7 linked regions of the Ovis aries genome follow. The protein of the gene in region 5 interacts with the protein of the main gene of each other region in a pairwise test. Links are inferred from orthologs where the notes say so. Each region holds a gene or a part of one and is shown on either strand. Other genes may lie near its edges.

Region 1 (3,500 bases), on a different chromosome or scaffold from region 5:
CCGCCCGCCGCCCCTACCTGGGGAGATGACGGTCTTGCCCGTGCAGGTGAAGCGCTCAGGCCCAATCCGGAAGGAGACACTGCTCTGCAGGTACTTGCAGTCGTGGCTCACGGTGGCAATGAAGTGCCGGGTGATGTACTCATAGAGGCGCCAGGCCTCGCCCCCTGCCACGGGCGCGGCCACTCAGCGCCAGGCTCCAGCTCCAGGCAGCCCCACGCTCCTGCTACGGCACTGGGGCCCCTGCGCCCAGCCCCCGGGACTCCCCACCGCTGAGCCTGTCACCCGGCCCCGCCTGGCCTTCCGCCCCAGGGCCTCCCGAGGCAGCACCTGCCCCCGTCACCACCTCACTCCTGTCCCGGCCCAGCAATGGAGCACAGCTTTCAGACAGCCCCACGCTGCCGTGGGGCCTGACCCTCCAGAGATCGGGTTACCAGCGTGCCTCACCCTGCTCTCTTGTGAAGCTTGATGCACGCGTGCGTGCGTGCTTCTGTGTGTGTGCCAGGGGGTGTGCCAGTCTGGGGGAGCCCCCATACCTAACTCAGCCTCCGTGGCAGACTTCATGGGGGTGATGGGGGGATGGTCACCAGCATCGTGACCTTTCCGTGGGCGGTTGAGACCTTCTGCTAAGAGCCGCTTCACCTGCGGGGGCAGCCGGGACGGAGCGGGGCGTGAGCCAGGCTTGGCCCCCGGCCCTCGCAGGGAGTGCGGCTGCTGCCCTGGCCTGGCGCAGCTCACCGTGTCAGCCCAGTAGGGGTGGTTGGCCTGCTGCCGCAGGGGCCCCTTCAGGTCGAAGCTCTCGGGGTAGTGGGTGGTCTCGGTGCGCGGGTAGCTGATGTAGCCCTGCGTGTACAGCCGCTCGGCAGTCTGCATGGCGTGCTGCGGGCCCATTCCTGCCAGAGATGCGGGCTCAGCGCCGACACCGGGTGCCCCAGGCGAGATGCTCAGGCTCCTGGGAGGCCAGTGCCCTTGTCCGCTGGCCCAAGGCCAAACTCCCCCAGCAGGGCAGGCGCAGATGACCGGCGTGGCTCTCGAGACAGGGCCGGCCCCTTGCCTGGCGGCAACCATGCCTTCCTACAGCCAGGCAGCCTGTGCTTCCAAGTCATGGGGCCCTGAGAGAGGAACAGCGCCCGCACTTACCCAAGGCAGAGCTGGCCACACGCAGCATCTCCACAGTGTTCAGGGCCAGGGGCCGCTGCTTGGCCTTCTCCTTCCTGCTTGTGGCCTCCACCTGGGGGTGGGAGGGGTCAGGGCAGGGCGGACAGGGCGGGCAGGCACGAGAGGAGCCCGGAGGGTCTGACTCTCACTCGTCCTCCGGGCTGCTCTAGCTCCCGTTACAGCGGCCTCACGACGCGAATGAACGTTTGTTCAGGCCCAAGAAAGGAAAACGAAAGGGAATTCTAGAGACTTTTTTTCGGGAGAGAAAACCTGGAGGAAGGGAGGAGTCAGGAGAAGGGGCTGCACGTTGGGAGCCCGCTGGGAGCCAGCATCTCCATCTGCAGAGAAGGCGGGGGTCCTGGGGTGAGGGCCCATCGCAGGGGCAGCTGCTTGCTTCTCATGGTGCCCGCAAGTGTAGCTACACCTTCTGATTCATCAGGAAAAGCGGGAAGTTGGAACTTTTTCTGTAAAATCTCCTAACTTCTAACTGTGGGTCACCAGGAGGAACTTCAGTGAAAAGCTCCCACTCGCGGAAAAGCGAGGTGAGCAACCAGCTCAGCCTCTGGGCTGAACGGCTGTTGAAGAGGTGAGCATCCTGCCTACGGCAGAAGCAGCCCAGGCTTCTCAACTGCCATGCTCACCCCTGCCGACCCCACGTGCACCCGGCCAGGGCCACACCCCGAGCTCTGGACAGACGCAGCAGTGGAGCCTGGGATCACGACGGGGAGGCCCAGATGCGGTGGCCGTCACAGGCAGAAGCGTGGGGCAGCTTTAGAAGCAGCTCCAGTGCCTGAATCAGCTGCACTGGGCAAGAGGGACCCATGAAGGCACGACTGCAGGGCACAAGCTGCCGTGGCCGTGGACCTGCCAGTCCCATGTGGCCCGCCCCCTGGCACGTGGCACCAACCTCTGCCTACCAGCCACGCAGCCACGCCTCCAATTCCTGAGACCCGAGTGGGGAGCGTGGCAGGGGAGCCAGGAGAGCCATCGGCCCGGAGTGGCCGAGCCGGCTGTGGGCCCTGGGCAGGCTCTCGACGGGCACAGGGGCCTCCAGCTGGACGTGCCACCGAGGGCGGACAGTGGGGCGGGAGCCCCCGAGCAAGGGGGTACCCGCAGGGCATGTTCACCAGTCAGGGCAGGCAGCTGTGTGGCGGTCCCAGCCTGGGGGGCGGGGCAGGACCGTGGTGGGGGCGTGTGTGGGAGCAACTAGTCTTCTCTCTAAAAGGTGTCTGTGTTCCAGAGAGACAGAGGGAGCCCTGCACCCTGGTCAGCAGAGGCCCCCGCAGCCCCGAGCAGCGCACCTGGGCCTCCTCCTCGAGCCTGGTCATGTTCAGGAACATCTGTGCGACCTCCCGGTCGAACACGCGGACGCGGTCCCAGTCCAGGAGGAGGGAGCGGTCCTTGTCGACGTCCACCTGCGGGAGGGCCCAGGAGCAGAGGCGGGGTGAGCCACCGCCCGCGAGGAGAGGCCAGGCAGCTGGAGCCTGGCCTGGCTGGAAGGGCTCACGGCCGAGGCTGTTCAGGGGCGCAGCCCAGCCCCTCCCCTAGCACAGGCTGCTCTGGCAGAGGCCTTCTGCTGAGATGAGGGAGGCAGTCTCAGGACAGGAGCCCAGCGCCAAGGCTGAGCTGTCCGCAGGGGCGTTGCAGCGCCCCCACAGGGGACCCCAGCCCTGTGTGGAGTGCAGCGGCCCCGAGTCATACTCGGAGCCTTAGGAGAACCTTCATCTCACTTGGAAAACATGTTCCAAGGCTTTTTAGGAGCTGGAAGGCCAGTGGCCCACGGCCCTCAGTGCAGTCCCTGGACCCGATCGCCCCGGCCGCGGACCTTGGCCTGCGCTGGACGGCCCTCTCCCGCACCCACGGTGGGACGGCGGCCCACACCCGTGCCCTGGGCCTGGGGACGACGACAGTGGAGGTGCTCAGACGCTACACCCAAGCCCAGCAAGCCCCAGTGCGAACGGGAAAAGGCCGCGGACCTTGGCCTGCAGCACCCAGTAGGTCTCCGGTTTGAAGGACTGGATCTTGTCATGCCTTTCCACACAGAACCCCAGCGTGGGGGTCTGGCACGGCCCAAAGGAGATGAGCGAGCTGTCCAGGTTGCCGTATTTCCCTTGGAAGTATTTAGTCTGGAACCTGTGAAGGGGGTCAGGGAGATGAGGACGCTTTGGTCAGGCACCCTCGCGCTTCGGCGAGACAGCTGTCTCAGGGGCCGAGAAGGCGGACAGTCTCCCGTCTCTGGTTGGGCCTGGTGGGGCAGGGGCACCTCGTGAAGGCGCAGCCGATGCGGAGGTCCAGCTCCTGCCGCGCATCCACCGAGAGCGCCTCGTTGTGGTCGGGCTCGCCCA
Region 2 (3,500 bases), on a different chromosome or scaffold from region 5:
AGCTGTTCCCACTGCTCTCACCACGACGGGTCCAGTCTGCCCTCTGCCTCCCTCAACACTTTCCCTCTGTGAGCTACTCAACACGGCTGGGACCACCCATTAAATCAGGATGAAGTGAAAAGTGAAAGTGTTATTCCTTCAGTCCTGTCTGACTCTTTTTGACTCCGTGGACTGTAGCCCACCAGGCGCCTCTGTCCATAGGATTCTTTAGGCAAGAATACTGGAGTAGGTTGCCATTCCCTTCTCCAGGGGATCTTCCTGACCCAGGGATGAAACCTGGGTCCCTGCATTGCAAGCAGATTCTTTACCGTTTGAGTCCCAGAGAAGATCTAAATCAGGATGCTTCTCTTCAAATCCAGGCCCTCCTTTCTCCCCATCCTCATCAAGCCTGGTTGATAAGTATCCCCCATACTAAGAGTCCATATTTCATCTGTTTTCCCATCTAGTCCCAAGCCAGCCAGCTGGCAGGGAGTCCTACACTCCCCGCGACTGGCACACCCTTCTCATGGAGGCAGAACACAGGGGGCAGGGGGTGTCAGTCGTAGGTGGCAGAATGTATCCCAATTGCCCTGCCACTACCTGCAAACTTCACAGCAGTGATGGAGGATGAATGCTCGTCCAGTGTCTGCTGTAGGCTGTACTCCCGTCCAGCATCCAACACGTGGATCAGCCGGTCCCGGCTTGCTGATGCTAGGAGCTTCAGACCTGTGGGTTGGAAAAACTTCATCAGCCCATGTGTGCCTAGAGCAGGCCCCTATCTGGGCCCAGCTAACAAGAACTGAGCCCCATATCCCTAAGCCAAGGCAACCATGGAGAAGAGGCAGAGCTGCCCTCCTCTAAATCTGCAAAGACACCAAATGATTCAAAGGATTTTCAGTCCCACATCCAACAACCAGGATTGATGTAAGCGGCACTAGCGGGACTAGAGGAGCCCTAAGCCTCTGGCATGGGTACCAGACATCCTCTTCACCTGTGTCCGGCTTAGAGTACTCCAGGCACAGGATTTCCGAGTCATGGGCCTCCACCTTCAGCATCTCATTCAGGGACTGCAGTTCGTGCACCCTGAAGAGATAAGGAGAGGCGGGAGGAGGTCACTGCCGGGCTGCAGGAAGACAGACTCACTCTGCTTTCTCTGTTACATCCTCTCTCCTGACCTTTTTTAAAATTTATTTTTGAACTTTCAGGTTAGAGAAAAGTTGAAATAAGTACAGAGAGCTTCCATATTCCCCTTACTCAGCTTTCCCTAATGTAATCGTCTTACGTAACAACAGTCCACTTACCAGAACAAGGAAGCTTACATCAGTACAATACCAGGGCCTAAAGGCTCTACTTGAATTCCACCAGTTTTCCCACAATGTCCTCTTTTCTGGATCTAGGATCCTATCCAGAGTCCAACTGCACTGAGTTATTATTTCTCCTGCGTGTCCTGTCTGTAACAATTCTTCCGTCTTTGCTTCCCTTTCGTAATCCTGACACTTGGGAAGAGTACTGATTAGTGCAGGTGCTCGGTCACATGTACCTCAATTTGAGTTAGTCTGATGTTTTCTCATGATGGGACCGAGTTTCTGCAATTTTGGCAAGAATACCACAGAAAAACTGCGATGTCCTTTTGTAGAGCATTGTATTATGGGGTTTATGATGTTGATATGAGAATGTAAGCCTGATTACTTGATTAGAATGGTTTCTGCTGGTTTTTTTTACTATAATTATCTTTCCCTTGTATATGAATATCTTTTTCCCAATCTTTTTGAGCCAAGATTTTCAAAAGCTCTGTCCTTGGGGACCTAACTCCCCCCAACCCACACCACCAGAGGCAGGTGGTACCCATGCCAGAGCTGGCTTTACCTGAGTGTGCCCACACGGTCCCCTGAAGCGAGATGCTGTCCATTGGGGCTGATACACACAGAACGAATGCCCACGCGGGGATCCATCAGGGACCCATCAGCTTTGTCTCCCCCGGGCAGCTCAGTGTCCAGCAGGGCCTGAGTGTTCCCATCCACATAGATGATCTTAATGAGGTCCTGGAGGAGCAGGTCAGGAGAAGTGGGTAAGACAGGTCTGATCAGTACAGGGGAGAGGAGAGGAATGCTGGACAAGACAAAGCCATGACTTGCAGGGGAAGGCCACATAAGAACTCGGAGATCAAGTCTGGGGACCCAGTTCCTGAGAAGGCAAGGGAACACAGGTGCTCAGCATGGAGGGGCCCAGGCTCACATTGCTGAGGATGTTCCGGTGCAGCGTGGAGCCATGCACCCCGGAGCTCTCTGTGTTCCACAGGCGGATAGTGTTGTCGGAGGAACAGGTGATAAAGGAACTGGGGGGTAGGCAGGCCTGGTTACTGTCCTTCACTTCGGGGTAGACCTGAAGGGGCAGAGGGTAGAAAGTCAGAGCTCCAGGTAGGCAGCAGTTGCCTGCCAGCCCACGGAGACAGAAGGGAACGAGACTAAGGAGCTGTTGTTGGCCAAGGCTTAGCCCAGAGTCTGTCACATGATAAGCAAACTGCAACTATTAGATATTCTTCAGATCGCTGAGGGAAAGCACATTCACCAAAGACAAGGTACTCTGCTATGCTTACTATGAAATACTCCACTCACAGTTTTTCACTTAATTCTTAAAACAATTAGATGAATTAGGTACATCATTTTACCACTGAGAAAACAAAACTCAGGTAAGTTCAGTAACTTGTTCAAGATCATCCAGCCCAGGACAAGGCAGAGCTAAGGATGGACAGGGGCCCATTGGAAGAAGCCTGAGACATTTAAGTACTAAAATTCAGGATCGGTCCCCAGGACCCATCTGGGGGTACGTGGATACACAGGGCTGCTGCTGAAGAAAGGAGGAGGGAGCAGGAACACAGTGTTCTACTTGGGGATCCTCACTCTCCATCCCCACAATGTGTCCGAGCCAGGCCACCTACCTCCACACTCCAGACGCAGGAGGAATGATACAGAGCCGAATACACCTTGCCCACTTTCTTGGGGTCCCTCACATCCCAAACATAAATGCTGTGGTCATTGTACACACAGGACAGCCACTGATTAGTAGGATCGAAGGTCAAGGCGATGGTGTCTGGATATCTGGCATTGGCCGCTCCAGAGAAGAGGCGACTGTGGGGAAGAAGACAGTGCAAAGCGGTGAGTGAGGAGCTATGGAAATGAGGGAATGAAAACAGAAGCCAAGCCACAGAGGAAGGAGCAGAGCACGGGAGCCCTCTTCAGACCCACAGGTTTGGAAGCAGCTGCTTGAGAGGAAAGCGCTGCTCTGACAGCTCTCAGCTGGGAGCCGCCCCTGCTGCCAGACCAGCATGCTCTCCTGACAAGCACGGACCAGGGCTCAGAACACCAACAGCAGACGAGGTGACTGCGGCCACGATGGAGTGAAACAAAAACAAGCCCCTCTGCAGTGGTTCCAAGACAGATAAAAACAAGATTACTGTCCCAGCCACAGAGAAGACCGATCATCACCGTTTCCCATCTTTCAGGACTGACTGCTATTCCTTT
Region 3 (4,036 bases), on a different chromosome or scaffold from region 5:
GCTCAGTAGGTCAGCGTTGGGGCTGAGATTGGGGTTGATCTCTGAGGCTGCAGGTGTCCGGGGTTGGGGTCTCAGAGGCTGATGTTCTTAGGTCAGTTGGTTTGGACACAGAATGGGGGTTGGGAGCAGAGCCGGGACAGAACCAAGGTCAGGGATTGGGTTATCACCTCTTTCCGCTGGGGCACGCGGCGCCACCAGACATGGTCACAGGAGGAGCAGGCGAACTGCCGGTCCACGGCAGGGATGAGGTCTTCCTGGGCACGCTGGAACATGCGTAGATTGTCTTCTGTCAGTGGCAGGAGGGATGTCGCCACCGCCTGCAGAATGGGGTGGGCGGGGCCAAGAGGGCGGTCAGTCCTCTTCTCTTCCAAACCCCTATCCTGTCCCTCCTTCTCACGTATGGATACCCCCAGGGGTGTGCACACCGCTCCACCTCCCCATCCCACACCCTGGACTCACCTGGATGTCCTGGTCCTGCTTCATGTCCTCTGGGGGGTCCTGGGTGGAAACATCAGGGGTAGAAACTGGGGAGGTGGCTCATGCCTCTTTTCTGGGGGCAGGGCTTCTGGATGGGGAGGCAGGGTTCTGGCCCCATATGAGTAAGGTGTCCCCAACTCAAGAGGAGTTAATTGAGCAGTTTCCACTTCCTGAGGGCAAGGGTGTGTGACCTCAGTTGTCCTCATAGCAACCCTGAGAGGTGGGCACACCTGTGATCCTCATTGCTCAGATGGGGAAACTGAGGCCCAGAGCTCTGAGAGGGCTTGCCTGAGATTACCCTGAGTGAGTGTGGGCAACAGGCCTGGGCCCCATGCTCCCTTCATGCTGGCAAATGCCACACACTTGCTGGCATTGTGACAGGTCACCTGTTTGAGGCTATGCTGCTTTAGGCTAAGTGCTTGAGCTCTGGATTCAGAGAGCCACAGGTTGGAATCCTGGCCTCATCACTTCCAGCTGTGGGGTCGTGGCCAAGCCACTCTCCCTAATGAAGGACATCTAGGAGTCCAGGTTCTGACTCTAGGTGACCTGGGTTCAAATCCCAGTCACCACCTGCATTCAGCATGAGCCTGGTGAGTGACTTCATCACCCTGTGTCTCAGTTTCCTCATCTGTCAAGTGGATATGATAAATAATAGGACTTGTCTCACAGGACCTGTGGCAATAAGTCAACAGAATTCCTGGAGTCCTGTTGCAGGGAAAGTGCTCAATCAATGATACTCTTTGCTAGTTTTATTATACTCATTATATGTATAACTGTAAATATATAAATGTTACAAGTATAAAACATACTTTATTATACTCTTTAACAGCTCTGTGCTGGGCCCTTTCAGACAGGCAAACCAGTGCACCAGCTACCAAGGCCATCTAAGGGGCAAAGTGGCCATACAAAGGCTCTCATTCATTCATTGCTTTAGTCATTCATTTACATGGGCTTCCCTGCCCCTCTTTCCTCCCCTATCTCTTACTCGTCCCAACCTGTCTGCAAGTTCCTCTGCTCAGGTCACCCTCTCTTCCAGGAAGATCTCCAACCCCTCCCCTTCCCAGGGATCACTCCTCCCTAGGCTTGAAGAATGTGGTACCACCTCCTCCAGGAAGCCTTCCCTGACCTCTTTGGCTCCTCTGTAATGATGATAATCCGGATTCTTTTCACTGCCTAGTTTCTTGTCTCTCTCCATTTCATACAATCAGCATGTAATGAGCACCTATGGTTTGCAGGCTCCTTGGTCAGATCCATAACTGAGAGGTAAGTGAATGAGGCTAGACCATGAGTTGTGGATGGACAGTGCACAGAAAGAGCTCTGCCAGGGATGAGCCTGACCCTTCCCTTCTTCCTTCCCTTACCACGTGTTTTGAGGGGAGGGGGCAGTTTACCTGGGTGTCCAGATCATTACTCAGTTCCTGTCCATCCTTCTGCTTTACCCCTGGTGGGGAGAGTAAGTGTAAGTGAAGGCCCCTTGAAAGGTTTTGTGGGAATTTCAGGGCCCCCAGAACCCCGATCCAGACCGCCCCCCAAAGAGATGATCTCATCGCCTCTTCCAGCCCCCAGCACAGACCACACCCCCTCCCTGCTCCCCAGCTTAACTCTCACCAGGCAGGACCCCCACCTGCTCACCATACACGATGGAGCGCCCCACTCCAGTGTGGTCGCTGCCAAATTTCCTCATCAGAGTCCCTGCCTTCTTGGAGGATACCTTTCCATGAAACTTCTCCCGGAGGCGCCGGACGCTTTTCTCCAGCTGGGGTAGGGGACCGGTGGGGGAAGGAAAAGCGCAATTGCCCTTCCTCCATCCCTAGGCTTCCTTTTTTCACGGCCCGAACTTGACCCCGGGTTTTGGCCTTCGCACCCCCCCCCCCCATCCCTCTACTGCATTTCCTGGAAAAAGCCAAAGTCCCCACAGAGTACTGGGGGAGGGAGCGGACTAGGGCGAGCGTCCCAGGCTAAGGGATGAGGCCGGCCAGATGACCCCTGGCCTCTGACCCTTGACCCAGCAGCCCCCGCTTTCCCTCGAGGAGGCCGCATTTTGCTCCGGGGCATGTGGCGGTCACTCTCCTTTCCGAGGGAGACGAGTGCCAGCCTTGGGGGGAAGGTCTGGGCTTGGATGGAGTCCCCAGCAACTGCGAAGCCCGCTCCGTGCCCCTAGCTCCTCCTCAGCATCTCTCGCGGGCCACCGGCCCAGTTGTAGCCATCTCCTACCTCCACACCTTCTTGAGACATGGTGGCGGCGTAGGTCCCCGCGAGGGTCCGCACTGCGCGCTCGGCGGCCCCCTACCTGGGCGCGCCCGTCGGTCCGGCCGCGCAGGGCAGGGGGCGGGGCCTCCAGGCCGGCTCCGCCCTTCCTTTCCTGCGCTCCGTTTCGCTTTCGTTTGGGAACGGGGGGGTGGACGGGGAGGGCTGGCTCCGCCCTGGCTCCGCCTCTGCTCTTGCGCCCCAAACCCAGGCGGGCGCCCCGGATCTGCACCCTGCGGCGGAGCGCGCAGAACTCGGGCGGGGGAAGCGGCGCGGCCTCTGCAGTCGGTCACATGTCCCCACGCTGCGCGGGGTCCGCGTCTTCACGTCCCTCGTGGGGGCGGGGCCGCATCTGAAGGCCGCGGCGAGTCTCCGTGCCCCCGCCTGTTCGCGCTCCCCTGTTCATCGCTCGGTCCCCTCCCTCCACCCGGAATCAGGCGCTAATGAGGATCTAGACCCCTGTCTCGCTCTGAGTGTCTTATCCGGCTATGTCTTCTCTCTGAACCTCAGTTTACTTCGCTGTAAAGTGGGGATGATGATAGTGGCTACATCCTGGGGACGGGTGTGTGTGCTCGCGCGCGCTCATGCCTGTGCGCGCGCGCGCGCAGGTGCAGGATTCGAGATCCCCAGGTCGAGTATTTAGTAGCGCCTGCCATGCTGTAGACATTCAACTAGTCACTGGGCCACCTACTATGTGCAAGATATTAAGAAGCAGGCAGTTGTGGTGGGGAGAAGATGCTCGTTAAAAATACGGATTCCTGGTTCCTCACAGTCTTGCAGAATCGGTCTGTCTAGGGGTTCCAGGGAATTTGCGCTGAAAAACGGAAGATTGAGAACCCCGAGGGATCAGGACGATTTTAACCCAGCATGGGGGGTGGGGGGTGGGCGAGGGGGCTGGAAGAGCCCTGCCTGGCGGCATCAGAAATGGTTTCTTTAAAAAAAGAAAAAAATGGCTTCTTGGAGGAGTCCGGAAGACCGAGGTCTCAGCAGTCAGAAGATCGGAGTGCGGGATGGAACAGCTTTGGGTGCAAAGACCCCAGAAAAAAGTGACTAGCGCTTTAAGCCAGGGCTTCTCAACCTCAACGCTATTGGCATTTAGGGCTGGGTGATTCTGGAGGCCTGCCCTGTGCATTGTAGGATATTTAGCAGCATCCCTGGCTTCAATCCGCTAGATGCCTGTGGCACTCTTGCCCCAGTCGTGGTAACTGAAAATGTCTCCAGACGTTGCCAAATGTTCCCTGGGGGTGGCAAAATTGTGTTAGGATAAATGACACCCCTCAAATTGTTTAACCTCCATCAGTAAAGATGTGGA
Region 4 (3,500 bases), on a different chromosome or scaffold from region 5:
CAAATTGCACGATGTCGCGGAGGGCGGGCTCGCCGCGTGGGGAGCGCAGGACACCGTCGTCGCCGTCTAGCACCTGCATGTCGGTGAAGTCGGCGTTGCCCACCCCGACAATGATGATGGACATGGGCAGGTGGGAGGCGCGCACGATGGCCTCACGTGTGTCTGCCATGTCGGTCACCACACCGTCCGTCAGAATCAGCAGAATGTAGTATTGCTGGGGGCACAGGGGAGGAGGGGCTGTGGGGACCCTGCAGGGCCGCTGTACCTCCCCCAGTCGAACCCCAAGTCCACCAACCAGACCGCCTGGGGGTGACCACGGTGCCAAGCTTTTCTAAAAACGTATTCGCAGAAGCGTACCACATGTACACAGGTGCACACACACACATGGAATCACAGTGAGCTGTGACCATGTGCTCCCTCTAACCGGAGGTGGATACAGCCACACCTTACAGGTGGGGACAGTGAGGCTAGGGGAGCCGGGGTTGACCCAGGTCTGAGGCCAGAGAAGGGATCATCAGCCCTGGGCGGGGAGGGGCTCCCACACCCTGAAGAGACGCTGAGATTTCAAACAACACACTCTGGCCCAGCTTGGCCAGGTGCCTAGTGTGTCTGCGCATGACAGACTGGGGCTTGTTTCAAATAAAGGTCCATTTCCACAGTGAAAAAAAACAAAACCACTCAGCAATCATTACTAAAAATCTGGGTGAGAGAAAACACAGAAGAGCTGCAAAAATCACCCTGGAGCGCCAGCACTGGAAGGCCGGCCAGACTATCCCCTAGCCTGCCCAGCTCTGGCCGAGTGGGCACCCTCTCCCAGGGACCCCCTCTGAGCCCCCAGACCAGGGGGATGGGCAGTCTCCTGTCCAGGGCTGGTGGATTCCCACAGTGCCTGGCCCAGCCCTGAGCCCCACACAGCCTCCTCCCACCCCCAGAGTAGGGGCAGCACCCCACTGAGACCTCACAGCCCTGGGTCTGCCAGCAGTGCAAACACCACACCATCACCGCCTGCGACGGAAGCGTCACCTGAACCCAGGGACCACTGCAGTCGGGGCCCCGGTAGGCGTCAGCCAGAAGGGACAGGGCTTCTCCGCAGGACAGGAAGGCAGGTGAGGGCAAAATTCAAGAAGAGGCTCAGGGAAGGGGGTCCCAGATGCCGCCCAGCCTCCACCCACATCCACCTCGCGCAGCTAAGACGAAGGGTCTGAGCCCCAGCAAGGACAGAGGCAGACCTGAGGCCCCCAGAGTTTAACCCCTCCCAGAGGAATCAGACGGACACGAAGGCTACCACAAGGGCATGGTCAGCAGACTCCAGCCGGGGGCCCTACTGTAGGCACATGCTGATCTCTTTAACAAGGGGGTGGCAAGAGGACCCCACAGGAGAAGGCAGGGGTCCCCAGCAGGATGGCCACACACACTGTCAGGCCCAGCCCCTTATCTTAACCCTGTGCCTCCTGGAAAATCCACCATGGTGTGGACGGGATGGCTGGACACTTAATGCTCGGGAACTGACGTTGTCTTTAGGTGTGATAATGGGAGCCTACTGTACCTCTTTCAGAGGTTTATACTGATATTTACAGATGAAATTATGTGTCTAAAACTTGCTTTAAAACAATACAAGAACATGAAAGCTGAATGTAATCCTTAACTCCAGGCTGGATTCTACACCAGAAATAATATTGTGATAAAATTATTGTTTTTTTGGCAATTAATGAACTTGGAGCATATTATATAAAGTATTGGATCTAAATTAAACCACCTGAAACTGATACCTGTGCAGTGACTGTAGAAGAGAACGCCTGGATCTGAGGAAAGAAGGGGTGGGAGGCGACACTGTGACTCTGCCTTTGGGGGCTGTGTGCCTGGGAGAGCCACCCCCACTCAGGGACTGGGCGATGGCAAGTCCCAAGGATGGAGCAAGGCTGAGAGCAACAGCCTCGTCCCACCACAGGGACTTCCCTGGGGGTGCAGTGGACTTCCACTGCAGGGTGCGCAGGTTCAGTCCCTGGTCAGGGAACTAAGATCCCACATGCCATGGGGCACAGAAAAACAAAGGGGAAAAAATAGATCAGGAGACCAGAACATGGGAAGGACAGGTCCTGGGACGGTGAGGAACATGGACACATGGGGACAGATGGAGGCTGGGGTGAGACAAGAGGAGGGGGTCGCCTTCGATGTGAGACTGCAGAGCTGTACTGTACAGGATCTTGTGAGCAGATCAACACCAAGAACTTGGTGGGGGAAGTGGGGTTCAGGAGGCCAGCAGCCTGCTCTCAAGAGATTCAAAGGGAAGAAAGGACCAGTGTGTAGATGGGGGCAGGGGAGGAAGAGAAGTAGGAGGAGGTAACAGGGCAGAAGTTGCTGACCAGTGAGTCCAGGGAAAGGATGGGCCAAAGGCGTTGGGTTATTCTTCCATAAAGTTGACTATTCTTTTTTTTTGTTTTCAGAATAAAAGATTAAAAGAAGCCAACTGAGTCATCGGCGTGCCTCAGGCAGGTCTACAGAACCCTAATGCAGGAGGCAGCCTTTAGCGTCTCACCACTTGTGCAAATTAAGAAGAAGGATTTCCCCGGCAGTCCAGTGAATCAGGACTGGGCACTTTCACTTCCCCGGGCCTGGGTTCAATCCCTGGTAGGGGAACTAAATTCCCACAAGCTAACACAGTGCAGCCAAAAAAAAAAAGACCATGCAAACAAAATAACAATACATGTATAATAGAACCACAGACAGCAGATCAGCCTCCAGGGCGAGAATCTCCTCGGCAGAGAGCAGCGCTCAACTCACTGGCTCTGGGGCCCTCGAGGCGAGTCCACGCCCGGCCTCACTTGGTCCAGACACCCGGCATTCCTGTTTCCCGCCCCTCTTCCCTCCCTCGGCCTCCCGGCCCCGCCCACCGGCCCCGCCCGACCTGACCCTTCCCTCTTCCCCAGAGGCCAGCCCTTCCTCACACACCCCCCCTGGTACTGGGCACCTACAGAGGCCTCACGGGTGCGCTCCTCGGCCGCGGCTGTGCGGGCCACCTTGGAGATGATGGGCGCCACGTTGGTGGGGCCGTAGAGCTGGACCCTGGGCAGGCAGTTCTGGTAGGCCTCCACCACACCCTGGATCCCTGTGGGGGGCGGGGTGTGAGCACGGCCCCAGCGCACCCCCACCACGGGCCATTCACGCTCCTACCTTCGCACTCATCGTCTTCGGGGTTGAAATTGATGGCAAAGTCATGGGACACCTGGGCAGAAGGGACCGGTCAGCGGATCCACCTCCTAGCATCCCCCACCCCAACTACTGAGAGAGGTAGGTTTTGAGCCCCCAGGGCCACCATGTGACACATCCTTTGTGGAAGGGGGTCACTGGGGACAGAGGGCAGAAGGCCAACCCTGGCTCCAGTGGGACCCGGAGCTTCTGAGATGTATTAGCCAATAATTCCCCAACCCCCAAACTTTCTGCTCAAGCCAGTCAAACACCCTTTCTAAACGGAAAATTCCAGGCGAATGTCCCCCTTCTCC
Region 5 (4,103 bases):
GGGGATTGGGAGGGATGACTTCTCAGAAGGACAACTCAGAGTGAGAATGGAGGGGTGAAGATTGGTCCATCCCTTAATGATCCTAAAGGTGAGAGGGAAAAGGAGCACTGCCTTTGTCCATCTACCCAAGCTGAAGGGGTGGAGGTCTGCCCTCAGCCTCCCAGCTCAGGCGCAGTCCCCTCCTTCAGCTTCAGGAACTTCTCAGCTCCTGTGTCCTAAACAGCGACTGTCTCTAGGCCAGCTCAGACACATGCATCTTTCTTAAGAGGGTTGAGGAGGGAGGTTCAGTGAGGACTTTTCAGACATCCTCTCTGAGCTGCTGACTGGAAGCCCCCTGGGCTTTCCATTCCCACCTGCTTCTCAGCCTTTTCTTGCCTTCTTACCTAATAAGCTCCTTCTGGAACACTTGACACAACTGTGCCTATCTCAAACTTTGCAGCCAAGGGATAAACTAAATGGGCTGATGGTTTATCTCTAGAGAAGCAGGTGATTTTCCCCAGTGATATTTAACTTCCCTCTAGGGGCCAGCCTCTGGCATTGGATCAATGAGGCCTTCCTTCAGGCAAGACTCTGATGGCTGGGGGAAGCTGGGGAGGGGAGATACAGCTAGAGAGGCTATTGGTCCCCAGTCACTCATGGGTCTATCTTCTGAAGAGCCAGGAAGTCCATCCTGCAGTCTCAGCTTGATCACTGGAGAAGTGGAGCTTGGAACCCTCCCCTGGTCTAAGCCTGGCTCTCCCATGGCTCCCCCTGGCCCTCCAGTCCCTTCACAATGAACCCTTCCCACCCCCACTCTTCATGCTGCTCTGAGCTCTGCTTTCCAGGAAAAAAAAAAAAATGTTTCTGTTGGATCTGAAAGGCACCCGGGAGAGGAATCCAAGGAGCTAATGCTGAGGTGGGCCAGCTCAGGGGCAGGAAAATGACAGAGGGAAGGGCAGGAATGTGCTTGGAGGTAGCAAATCCATTCCCCCTCACCTCCCTGAGACCCCAGCGCTTGGGATGTTGAGAAGGATCACAGTGGCGGGGCCTGTGCCCGAACGGTCTCCTCAGCTACTTGGGGTTGTGAAGGGGGTTGCTGATGGCTGCTCCTTCCCTTGGCTGGGCTGACCACTGAGGTCAGCAACTCCGCCCTGATGAGGAGGCGGGTAGGGGCTCCAGAGAAGGGCCAACATTCCACCCAAACCTTCAGCTTTCAGCCTGACTCCCTTCCTGGTGGTTGAAGAGAAGGAGATGGGAGGCTGGTCACTGCCACTTCTTGCTGCTGGGTCCCCTCTCCACTTCCTCTGCCTCTGCTTCTCTCTGCTACCCCAGGCCTGTGTCTAGCTGTCTCTCTCTATGGGTCTACCCAGTACACATAATCCTGTCCTGAGCTGGGTTTGGCTTTGGCAGCTCCCTGGAGAAGTGAGGGGTGGGGGGTGGGGTGACGTGAGCTCCTGGGGCCAGGGCCAGGCCTGGCTCCCTCTCTGGAAAAGTCCTACCCCACCCCCCGCATAGCTGGGCAGGGGGCCGACACATGCACACACAGGCACACACAAACGCTGCAGAAACAGATACACATTTGTGGTTTTCAGTCTTTTCATGTTTTCCGTTTCTCATCTGGTGAGCCTCACTGTCCAGAGTGAAGAAAGGAGAGGTCAGACAGAACTGGCCATTCTTGGGCCCGGCTGACACTGGTCTAGACAAACCTGGGCTCCTCCCTGCCACAACTCCACACTGGCCAGTGGAGATCAAGGAGGAGTGACCTGGGCAGAACTAACCGCTTCACTAACCCCAAGAGACCTACCTCTGGGGAACAGTGGCACTGAGGGGCAGGGGGTGGGTCCAGGGCTCCAGGGCTGGCTGCAGAGTCCTTGTCTTGGGCGAGAACTCCTTGGTCCTCCTTGTGCCACTCCTGGGTCCTGGAGGCCCACCCAACAGGTGTCCTGCCTTTCTAGTCGTCAGGCTGAGCTGGATTCGGGGCACCCACTTGTAACCCTCCCAGCGTCTGTGCCCCCCAACCCAGGACGGAAGCGGATGACAGGGTTGGGGGGATGGGGGAGGAACGCATCATCCAGAAATACCGTTCCAGAGGGGAAGGGCAGGAGGTGCCCGGCGCGTGCCGGGAGCTCCTGGGTGTGTTTTCCAGTTTTATTCTGTGTAGGAATTTTGGCTGATTCTTCGTCCGAGTGATGGGGCCAGCGTTCCAAGAGATCAGAGCCCCCTCCCCAGGAATTGGACCCCAGGGACTGGAAGATCTTCCGAGGCTATAAGAACTGGGGCCGGGGTCGTGGCTGGGGCGCGACCGCGGGGCTCGGAGAACCCGGACGGCGCGGCGGCGTGGGGCGGATGGTCTAACCAGACGGGGGAGAGAGGGCGACCGGGGCCAGGGGTCCCAGGGAAGATCTGTACCTGCTCTGCGCGGCCCCGGCGGCCAGCTAACCCCTCTGCGCCCGGGCGCTCCCTCCAGGCAGCCTCGCTCCGCGGCAGCCACTGCGGCCCCTGGGCCGGGCTACGGCCGCCTCCGGCCGCGGCTCCGCCCCCGCCCCGCCCCGCCCCGCCCCGCCAGCCCGCCCGCCACGCGCCCGGCGGCAGCCCCCCGGCGGCCCCCGAATCCCCAGCCCGCCAGGGCCACCCACCCTGGGCTGCGGGCCTTGGCCGCTCCCGCCCGGCACCTGCCGACCGCTCCAGGGGGCGAGGCCGAGGAGGTCCCAGCCGGGTTCCGAGGGAGCCATCGCGCCAGGGCTGTCCCTCGACCCGGCTGGGGCTCGGGTCTCCGGGACCGCGGTCTCCCGACCGGCTCTGAGTGGGCGGTGCGAGCGCTGCGCCAGCCCGGGCGGAGCGGCCGCGAGGGGCGCCAAGGGGTTGGTGGCGCCGGTACCCGAGCGGCGTGGGCGAGCCCCGCGCCCCACATTGGGGCGTTGCTGGGCTGGGAGATGGTCAAGCCTGACCTCGATTCCACGTTGGTCAGGGCCCTCTCCATCACGCAGCCTCCCGTGCAAGCCCAGTTATCCCTGCTTCTCCTAAATTGGACTGTGAACCATGTGGTTCTGACTGCTCAGGGACCCTCTAAGCCTCGGTTTCTTCATCCATAAATGTTACCTACGGGGCGTAGCGCAAGGAATGCGCTGATTTAGGAATCAGAGGATCTGGATTTGAATCTCCCTCTGTGATCTTGGATGAATGCTTCAACCTTTCTGTGCTGCAGTTTCCTCATCTGTAAAATGGGGTTAACCTGACATACACGAATAGGCTTGGAGATATGTCTGCCTAGTTACTTAGATCAGGAAGAATACATCCCAAACTCGGAACTGGGGGCAGCAGCTGGGGAGGGGTTGGGAGAGGAAAATAAAAATATAAGCTTTCACTTTTTTACTCTGTATGCTTATATGTTTTTGAATGTTTAACCACAGGCATTATCTGTTTTTTATGGTAAAGAAATAAATAATACACGTAAAATGACAGAGTAGATAAAGTCATTATTTTTCTTGTCACCACTATTTTAAAAGTTTTATTTGCCATTTTTTCATGAACTACAGTCATGTACTGTTGGGTCTACTCTCAAGCATTTGAAAGGTTTTATTTATTTATTTTTTTCCAGTGACTTGTCAATATTTTAAAACCAGGATATTCAGTAGCAGGGTATCAGGTGTTCCCACCTAATACTTATTGAGCACTTTCTGCACTTGGTGTGGAGGGCACAGTTAGAACAGCCTCTGGCCTTAAGGAGTTGGGTCTAGTTGGAGACAGACTTGGGAGGTAAGTACTGGACTCAACAGAAGCAAATGTTGTCTCAAGAGATGAGGGAAGTGAAAACATAAAATGCTTTTAAGTATAAGTATTATATCCTTATTTGAAGTTCAATATCTATATTTTATTATAATTTATAAGTTATATAATTTATATTATAAAATTATAATTTTATTATGATTTATTATTATTTCAATAAACCCCTAAGTTTTCTCAAGACAAGGACCATTTAGGCCACTTTGTGTCATCTCTGTTTTTTCATCTTTTGTATTTCTGTTTTGGTTTTTGTATTTGTAGAGTTAATAGAAATATTTGGAATGAAACAGAACAAACAGATGAGTCCCAGGTGCCCAGGCCTGCTTTCTGACTTTTTTTTT
Region 6 (4,079 bases), on a different chromosome or scaffold from region 5:
TTCTTCGAAAGTTGTCCCTGGGTGCATGCCTATTATCTGTGCTTTTCCCCTTCCACTAATGAGCATTTATCTAAAGAGCCTGTTAATCCTCTGATGTGTGCTTCTGGTCAGAGGTAACAGTTTGAATAAAACCACTAATCACTGATCACTAAATCACTGATCATTAATCACACTCTCCAGTGCTGGTGACCCGGGCCATTTTCCCCTTTAGGTCTATGTATGCATCACAAACAAGAAGTTTTAACATTTCAGATGCACATGTATTGTGTGTGGGGTCATACTATTTCATCTCTAGATGTGAATAAATAATAAATACTGCCACAAACTTGGGGAATGATGTCAATTAGACTCCAGACATGAGTTTCACAAATGCCTACTCTACAGCATGGCTTTCACTCTGAAGAAAGTAGATCTGATTATAACAAAACATGTGTTCTTCAAGAAATTCCCACATACTCAGAATATAAATTTTCCTGTATTTAGCTTTCACCAGCTTCAAACCAGAGAGCACTCAGCTCTTCTGCACCCCCTCTATTCAAAAGCCTGTTAAGAAATCTTTTATTTAATTTCTGCTACACTGCAGCCCCACCCCCACCCCACCCGGAGTTCTTTTTACTTTTATCCCTTAAACATGTCATATACAGTATTTTTATTCAACTGCCAGAAACGGGGATTCTGACTCAATTCAATGACGTACGTATTTAACTTTCTATTTAAATACAGAAAGTTAATGTTAAGAGAAAAAAAGTAACCCATGCACCACTCTATTGTACGATATTTTGAGTTCAACGACTTACATTCCCTCACTTTGGAAATGAAACGTTTAATCTCGAGCCTTCCAGCCAAATTTGATTTAGTCAGCACCCTCAGCCATCCCTCTTCGGAAAACCGGTCTGTCTGAGGAAGGCGCTGTGTAAAATTAAGTACTTTGCTTAACAGTGAGTGTGTTGTTTTCCTAAGTCACCACAGGGACACGGTACTATCATAGTGTCTCTAAACATTTCCTGAGACGCCTTTTCTATCAGAGTTGAGCAGTTTGCCCTGGAGAAGAGGGTTCACTGGTGCCTTTCTTAAATAATAGAAAAGGGCAGATTGTGTGTGCGTCGATCAGGTACTGCGCTCCCTCAGCCACCAGAAGCTCTCACCCACACTCCAGGGACTGTGATCGCCCCAGGGAAAGCAGTCAAAGGCGGAGGCGGGGCCAGAGTGATAACGGTGTGGGCGGTAGAGCGGGTGGAGAAGGAGGGATCCGGGAGGAGAGGGCAATAACGATGCCCAGGGAATCAGAGATTGTACGAGTATGTTGGGGGTTGGGGATGGAAAGCCTTGCCTTGTCAGCACTTCTAAGGCCCCCAACCCTTGAGTATCTGAAGCTGTTAATCAAACACTTATTGGTCTGCAGAATGACGTAATGGACCTGTATCCAGCCTTTATTCCTTGACACATGTCAGAGAAGGAGGGAAAAATAAAAATCAAACACTCTGTAGACTCTGACAACGAAATATACAAGTAGCCCACTTCAGTTCCAGGCCTTGAACAAGTCTCAAGTGGGGGCGGCACTTGTTCAGGGAAAGTTAGGGTGGACAAGATCTTTATCTACCAGATACTCAACCCCCACCCCAGAAATAAATCTGTGGCAAAGGAAAAGCGGGATGCAGCCGCCGGGAGAAAACATCTCCTTGGTTCCTTCGTGAGTCTTGCCCCTCTAAGAACGTCGTGAAAAGTTTTGAGTTATTCCGTGGAGAATCTGGTGGAGAGGAAGGCTCCGCCGCCGTGCTCTGAGAACTGCAGCCGCGTCGAAGGCGGGAGCTGTCATTTGGGGCAGCGGCGGGGAAGAGGTAACGATGCCAACGAGAACCGGACAGAGGCAAGAGGCGGCTGCAGGAGTGAAGACGAGGAGAGCCTCGCCACTGTCGAGCCTTCCACGCCTGCAGTGAAAGGCAAGTGCCCTCCGAGGGTGATGGCCCCCTCATTCCCTGGCGCGCGCGCCCACCACCTGCGGTGGGCAGCCCTGCAAAAGGTGGCAGCAGCAGGCTTGGGGCCCGGGAGGGAGCTAGCCCCCAGTGCGCCCGCCCGTCCGCCCCCTAGGTGACCCGGCGTCCTCGCCGCGCCCGCTGGAAGTTTGCAAACTTTCTCCGGGGGTTCCGCCGCATCACAGGGAAGTTGGGGACGCGGGGGGGAGGTTCCTGTCTCGCCGTCTCCGCTGCTGCCGCCTCTGCCGCCGCTTGACCGCACTTCTGGAGGGTTCCGCACCTTGCCAGGTCTCTGGAGGCAAACACACACCCCCGATTCATAACTGTTCCCCGTGTCAGGGAAACACACGCGCGCTCCTACACACGCACGCACGCTGGGGCGGACACGGCGCTCGCTCCACGTTAGCATCCCTCCAGTCGCACGGCGCGGCGGCCACCAAGACGCGCTCCGGGACGGACACGGCGTGGGGTCTCTGGGGTAGCCTCAGGACACGGCTGATTCCACAATCCACCAGTATTTGGGGCCTGACTTCCCTCTGGTCCGTCAAAGTGTTTACAAACACAGATCATCCTCCAAAAAGAAAATGCATCGCATCTTCCCTACTCCTTGCCCTGCGACCTGCCCACTGGACCAAGTAACCTCGCGGCTGCTGCCGAGAACCAACCCCTGCAAACAACTACACTCCCGAGACGGCTCCCGCGGCAAGTGCAACAAAAGTGACTAAATGCAAAAGCCCCAGAAGTGGCCTAGCCGTATTTTTAGGAACTTACCAAACAAGTGTGGAGAAGGCAAGAGCAGAGCCCGGGTGAAGGGACCACGTTGGACTGAGCAAAGATTACAATACATTCTATTTAGAGTGCATTACATCACCCCCCCGGTGACGTCACGTGGGATTCCTGAACTTCTAAATCATTGCGGTCCGTGGGGGAGGGAGGAAGGGAGGGGCGGGGCCGTCGCGCCGAGGGGGCGGGCTCCGCCCCAGCCCCGCCCCGCTCCCGCGCCACGAGCGGACCCTGGTGCACCCGCGGGGAAGCGGCGGCGGCAGCGGCGACCGCGCAAGCAACAGCTTGCAGAGCCCAGCGCCGTGTGACACGGCTCCCTGACTTTAGTGGTGTGAGTCAGCTTGGAAACAATCCTCAAGGTTTCAGAAAGGACCACGGAGGAGGCAGGGACACGGGCCCTCCCGTGAGTAGGGCCTGGTAGCATTTAAAAAGGTGTGGGGATGGGGCGAGGTGGAGAGGGGTGCCGAAGAGCGCAGGGAAGAGACTGTCTCCGAACAGAAATGCGGGACGCTCCCCCTTCCCCCACCAGCAGATGTCCAGCTCCGTTTTGCTGCGACAGTCATGACCTCATTACAGTGTTCCCTGCATCCTGGCTTTTCAGAGCACTCACTGGACACCCCTTTTCACCTCCCGCCCCCGCCCCTCTCCAGCTCACTTCCAAGGAAATAACTTCTTTATTGTGCAAACTCATGTGGAATACACTGCCCCCACCCTTTCCAAGACCCCTGCTTCTCGAGTCTAAGAGCTGGAAAAAGAGTTACTCCTGGAAGGGAAAGGTGTATCACGGCTAGAGCCAAGTGATGAGCCTGATTTAGACTCAGCGTCAGAGCCGGAAGGGCCGTTGGCGATCATTCCAGAGCCTCGTCTGTAACTTGCCCAAGCTCCCCGGCTGACAAGTGGCAGAGCAGGAGCCAAAGGGAGGGAAAGAGCCCCTGGTCTGCAGTACCTTCCCCACAGCTCCGGGAGAGAAGGAGCCTGGAGCTTTCAGGATCAGCCAAGACACCCTCCCCATCACTATCCTCGGCTTGACTTCCATTCAGATGTTCTTTCAGTGAGCCAGACTCATAGAGAAGGCATAGAGTAATTTCCAGTGGATCCTAGCCACCCCAGACCACCACTGTCATCCCTGCCGCAGCTCACAGTGTACAAAGCCTTCACACCCACGTGGAACTCCCTTGATTCTCACAACCAGCACAAGGAGGGCAAGCGTTATCATTATCCCCATTTTACAGGTGAGCCAAGGCAAAATCCACAAGGTTAGGGAGCTGGCCTGAAGCTGCTTGAGTAAGTGGTGGCACTGGCACCACCCCAAATCCTGTTTTC
Region 7 (3,932 bases), on a different chromosome or scaffold from region 5:
CAGTCCATAGGGTCATACAGAGTCAGACACAGCTGAAGCAACTTAGCATGCATGCACACTAATGAACTTAAGAAGCTTGCTGTTTTTGTGTCAGGAAACTCAAATTTTGCTTTTTTTCTGGCTCTTCATATCTGTGCCCATGTAACTAACTCTAAAGAGGAATCTCTCTAAGGAAGATGATTAAGAAATGATCTTGTGAATCTTGACTGAAAGGATGTGGGAAAGCAGACTAAAAATAGTTAATGCTTTTTCTAAGGGAACCTTCAGTAAGAATGACTTGCATTGTCTTCCTTGGGCAATGGTTTCTTTTTCATCATTACTCTGAAAATTCAGCTACCCACTCCATCATCAAGCATTTCTGTGGAGAAGGAAGGTTAAACTGGAAAAGTAAATTGTCAGCTAATTCTTAGACTATGGCTTCCTCCATTTCAAAACTGGTAAACCATACATATTACATAGACTAACATGATGGTTTGTGTTTAAAAAAAAAAAAAGCCAACTGTTGCATAGTGCATGGATAATAATAGAGAACATGAGTGAGATAGGTGAAAAGCACGAGATCTGAATTTTTATTTTAACTTTGAGGATTTCTGGAAACCAGGATGCAGCTCTATTTTAATGATCTATATAGCCCAAAAGCATAACCCAAAGTGGAGAATTCTCCATTATTGTGCCTTTTCTTTTTTTATTATGAGATATATACAGAAAAGGTTAATGTAACATATGCACCATTGAATAGTTATAAAGTGAACATCCATATAAATACTATTCAGATGCATTAGAGATTCTTAATCATGAGTCTACTGATACTTGCAGAGAATTTGCCCATATCTCCTTTTTTCTTTTTTTTTTAACACTGCATAAGTTTCCACGCTGCTAAGTTAATACGGTTGTTTAAGAAATCTAGTTTTTTACATCCTTTAGCTCACTGAGGTGTAGTGAACCTGTCTTCTCTCTGGGCTTTGGGTCTCTCTATATCTCGTCTTTTTTTTTTTTTTTTTTTTAAGTTATCCTCGCCCATCCCTTCCAGTAAAGGCTCTTTTGGACCCAGCCACGCCTCCCCACCTTGGCTCTACCCACGCCCAGGTCCCGCCCCTTTCGGGCCCTAGAGTTTGGTCTCCATGGTTACGCCGAGAGTTCTGGGCTGCCGTGAAAGCCCCAGGGAAGAATTGGGTAGACCCGGCTCAGGCTCTTCACTACAGCCAAGGTCAGCCCAGCCTGGGCTCCACGCCCTTGATCCGGAGTGTACCTCGCGAGGAGGCGAGCATGGGTCAGCGGACGGAGCCTGGGCCGCGGGAGCATGTCGTCTAAACTGGTTCAGGCGAAACTGACAGTAAGGACTCTTCAGGCCCCGCCGCTGAGCGTAAAGAGCTGTCGCTTCCGGTCGGAGGCTCACAGGTCCCCAGGTCAGATCGCTAACGCGTGCTGCTCACCGCTGTTCGGCACTGCTCGCTGCCCCGCCGGCCAGAACTCGGGAGGTTTAGGCTGAAGCGGTGGGTGTGGGGAGGGTCGGGGGGCGGGGACTGAGGAGAACCCGGAGAGACCTGTACCGGGTGCCCGACGGCGCACGCGCACACGCGCGGCTTATATTCATTGAGCAGGCGTTTGTTAGTTACCAGCTGCTGGTTTGATGCTCTTACTTTCTGCCAACGCTATGTTAACCACTAAGTATATAGACTGGGAAAGGAGTACGTCAAGGCTGTATATTGTCACCCTGCTTATTTAACGTATATGCGGAGTACATCTTGCGAAATGCCCGTCTGGATAAAGCACAAGCTGGAATCAGGATTGCTGGGAGAAATATCAATAACCACAGATACACAAATGACACCACCCTAATGGCGGAAAGTGAAGAGGAACTAAAGAGCCTCTTGATGAAAGTGAGAGAGGAGAGTGAAAAAGTTAGTTTAAAACTCAACATTCAGAAAACTAAGATCTTGGCATCTGGTCCCCTCACTTCATGGCAGATAGATGGGGAAACAATGGAAACAGTGACAGGCTTTATATTCTTGGGCTCCAAAATCACTGCAGATGGTGACTGTAGCCATGAAATTAAAAGATGCTTGCTCCTTGGGAGAAAAGCAATGACCAATCTAGACAGCATATTGAAAAGCAGAGACATTACTTTGCCAGCAAAGGTCTGTCTAGTCAAAGCTATGGTTTTTCCAGTAGTCATGTATGGATGTGAGAGTTGGACTATAAAGAAAGCTAAGCGCCGATGAATTGATGCTTTTGAAATGTGGTGTTGGCGAAGGTTCTTGAGAGTTCCTTGGACTGAAAGGAAATCAAACCAGTCAATCCTAAGGGAAATCAACCCTGAATATCCATTGGAAGGACTGATGTTGAAGCTGAAACTCCAATACTTTGGCCACCTGATGAAAAGACCCTGATGCTGGGAAAGATTAAACGCGGGAGGAAAAGGGGAGGACAGAGGATGAGATGGTTGGATGGCATCACCGACTCAATGGGCATGAGTTTGAGTAAACTCCAGGAGTTAGTGATGGACAGGGAGGCCTGGCGTGCTGCAGTCCATGGGGCCGCAAAGAATCGGACACAACTGAGTGACTGAACTGAACTGAATTGATATAGAACTCAGTCCTCAGGACAGCTCCAGAGACAGAGTAGTAGTCGGGTTTATACTTTTCAGATGAGAAAATCACTTCAAAGAGAAGTTAGAGAAATGGCCAAGGTTTCAGCTAGAAAACGGGGCACGATGGAAACCAGGCTCTCTGGTTCTCCTGGACTAGATGCCAGGTGTTGTTAACCTTACCTGAACCCTAATATGCTGAAAGTGATCTTTACCTACCTGGGATTGCCTTTGTTATTCTCTGCATGCTAATTTCCCCTGTGCTTAGATCGGAAAACCTGATCACTATTAAAACCTACCACCTTTTCACCAGGAGTTCTTTTTTTTCCCCCATGATCCATGACTCGTTATATGTTTTGCTTTTTTTTTTGCTTTTATGCTTTTAATCAAGAGTATAAACCTTCACTTGGATGTGCAAGAAATAGAATTTTGATGATTCGAGCAAGAATTGTGTTCCAAGAGTCTCTGATAATTATGAAAGGTCATTTAGTGAATGTGATGAAATAAGCATGTTCTGTTTCAAGCTGACTTTGCCACCTACATAGTGGAATTTCTCACTAATTCTACTCCTACACCCATCCTCCATCTCTAATACTGTTTAACATTTTTTTAAATTAAAAAATATCATGTTATAGGGGTACTTTTGATGACCACCATCATTTAAATAAAGAGGAAATGTTTCAGTCATTAAGTCCCAATTACTCTCACTGTTATCATTAGTCCTTCATTTTTATAAATATGAAACCAACTAATGAAAAACAAGAGGGGCCTTATATACTAGTAAATATTATTAAGTTAATAAATAATATGACTCTTTACAAATATATTAGTGGTGAAATCTCAAAAGGAAAAACTAATATATAAATACAATTTAAAAAATCTTTTTATTTAGAATGCCTCCCACTCAGGCTGAAAGTGTTATAAAGAATATCATTAGAGAAATAGGACAAGAATGTGCAGCCCATGGAGAGATTGTTCCTGAAACTCTGGTTGCTTTTATGGTAAGAATAAATATTTTTGTGAATTACTGCTTTATTAAAAATTTTTTTTCAGCAGTGCCTATCTTGCTCTTAGAATTCTGTGATGTTCTCTTAACTTGTTGCATTGAAAACCTATGGCGATTGGTAGACAAATTGTGTCTGTGTGTGCTCAGTCGTGTCCAGCTCTTTGCAACTGCATGGACTGTAGCCTGCGAAGCTCCTCTGTCCATGGGATTTTTCCAGGCAAAAATACTGTTTGTTTGTTTTTTAAGTCTATAAAGCATGTTAGTTCTAGATTTAAGAGACTGATCTAGAAGATCTCAAAGAATCTTAGAAACATCAATAATGTTTTTCCTGTGTTGTAA

The links.
Region 1: the proteins of ADAMTSL4 (region 5) and TOP3B interact in binary tests that used the Homo sapiens proteins (3 or more experiments, as listed by UniProt). The two-hybrid records come from large-scale screens. The link is inferred for Ovis aries from reciprocal best matches to the Homo sapiens genes ADAMTSL4 and TOP3B.
Region 2: the proteins of ADAMTSL4 (region 5) and MAPKBP1 interact in binary tests that used the Homo sapiens proteins (3 or more experiments, as listed by UniProt). The two-hybrid records come from large-scale screens. The link is inferred for Ovis aries from reciprocal best matches to the Homo sapiens genes ADAMTSL4 and MAPKBP1.
Region 3: the proteins of ADAMTSL4 (region 5) and SHFL interact in binary tests that used the Homo sapiens proteins (3 or more experiments, as listed by UniProt). The two-hybrid records come from large-scale screens. The link is inferred for Ovis aries from reciprocal best matches to the Homo sapiens genes ADAMTSL4 and SHFL.
Region 4: the proteins of ADAMTSL4 (region 5) and CPNE7 interact in binary tests that used the Homo sapiens proteins (3 or more experiments, as listed by UniProt). The two-hybrid records come from large-scale screens. The link is inferred for Ovis aries from reciprocal best matches to the Homo sapiens genes ADAMTSL4 and CPNE7.
Region 6: the proteins of ADAMTSL4 (region 5) and CREB5 interact in binary tests that used the Homo sapiens proteins (3 or more experiments, as listed by UniProt). The two-hybrid records come from large-scale screens. The link is inferred for Ovis aries from reciprocal best matches to the Homo sapiens genes ADAMTSL4 and CREB5.
Region 7: the proteins of ADAMTSL4 (region 5) and CFAP206 interact in binary tests that used the Homo sapiens proteins (3 or more experiments, as listed by UniProt). The two-hybrid records come from large-scale screens. The link is inferred for Ovis aries from reciprocal best matches to the Homo sapiens genes ADAMTSL4 and CFAP206.

The regions. Positions count from the first base shown.
Region 1 is NC_056070.1:71,999,476-72,002,975, reverse strand, and holds part of TOP3B (DNA topoisomerase 3-beta-1), read right to left. Parts: coding exon 3,419-3,500; intron 3,289-3,418; coding exon 3,132-3,288; intron 2,571-3,131; coding exon 2,457-2,570; intron 1,229-2,456; coding exon 1,138-1,228; intron 891-1,137; coding exon 736-890; intron 640-735; coding exon 534-639; intron 165-533; coding exon 18-164; intron 1-17. UniProt on the Homo sapiens protein: Releases the supercoiling and torsional tension of DNA introduced during the DNA replication and transcription by transiently cleaving and rejoining one strand of the DNA duplex.
Region 2 is NC_056060.1:35,423,443-35,426,942, reverse strand, and holds part of MAPKBP1 (mitogen-activated protein kinase-binding protein 1), read right to left. Parts: intron 3,108-3,500; coding exon 2,918-3,107; intron 2,362-2,917; coding exon 2,215-2,361; intron 2,022-2,214; coding exon 1,846-2,021; intron 1,063-1,845; coding exon 971-1,062; intron 706-970; coding exon 580-705; intron 1-579. UniProt on the Homo sapiens protein: Negative regulator of NOD2 function. It down-regulates NOD2-induced processes such as activation of NF-kappa-B signaling, IL8 secretion and antibacterial response. Involved in JNK signaling pathway.
Region 3 is NC_056058.1:12,503,770-12,507,805, reverse strand, and holds the start of SHFL (shiftless antiviral inhibitor of ribosomal frameshifting protein), read right to left. Parts: upstream 2,801-4,036; 5' UTR 2,713-2,800; coding exon 2,692-2,712; intron 2,234-2,691; coding exon 2,110-2,233; intron 1,919-2,109; coding exon 1,869-1,918; intron 499-1,868; coding exon 460-498; intron 318-459; coding exon 168-317; intron 1-167.
Region 4 is NC_056067.1:14,056,702-14,060,201, reverse strand, and holds part of CPNE7 (copine-7), read right to left. Parts: intron 3,224-3,500; coding exon 3,172-3,223; intron 3,107-3,171; coding exon 2,973-3,106; intron 215-2,972; coding exon 1-214. UniProt on the Homo sapiens protein: Calcium-dependent phospholipid-binding protein that may play a role in calcium-mediated intracellular processes.
Region 5 is NC_056054.1:100,567,559-100,571,661, reverse strand, and holds the start of ADAMTSL4 (ADAMTS-like protein 4), read right to left. Parts: upstream 2,801-4,103; 5' UTR 2,616-2,800; intron 2,472-2,615; exon of another isoform or gene 2,389-2,471; intron 1,899-2,388; exon of another isoform or gene 1,784-1,898; intron 1,210-1,783; exon of another isoform or gene 976-1,209; intron 83-975; 5' UTR 1-82. UniProt on the Homo sapiens protein: Positive regulation of apoptosis. May facilitate FBN1 microfibril biogenesis.
Region 6 is NC_056057.1:69,306,015-69,310,093, forward strand, and holds the start of CREB5 (cyclic AMP-responsive element-binding protein 5), read right to left. Parts: upstream 2,801-4,079; 5' UTR 2,745-2,800; intron 1-2,744. UniProt on the Homo sapiens protein: Binds to the cAMP response element and activates transcription.
Region 7 is NC_056061.1:49,878,284-49,882,215, reverse strand, and holds the start of CFAP206 (cilia- and flagella-associated protein 206), read left to right. Parts: upstream 1-1,132; 5' UTR 1,133-1,493; intron 1,494-3,477; exon of another isoform or gene 3,478-3,479; 5' UTR 3,480-3,480; coding exon 3,481-3,588; intron 3,589-3,932. UniProt on the Homo sapiens protein: Essential for sperm motility and is involved in the regulation of the beating frequency of motile cilia on the epithelial cells of the respiratory tract. Required for the establishment of radial spokes in sperm flagella.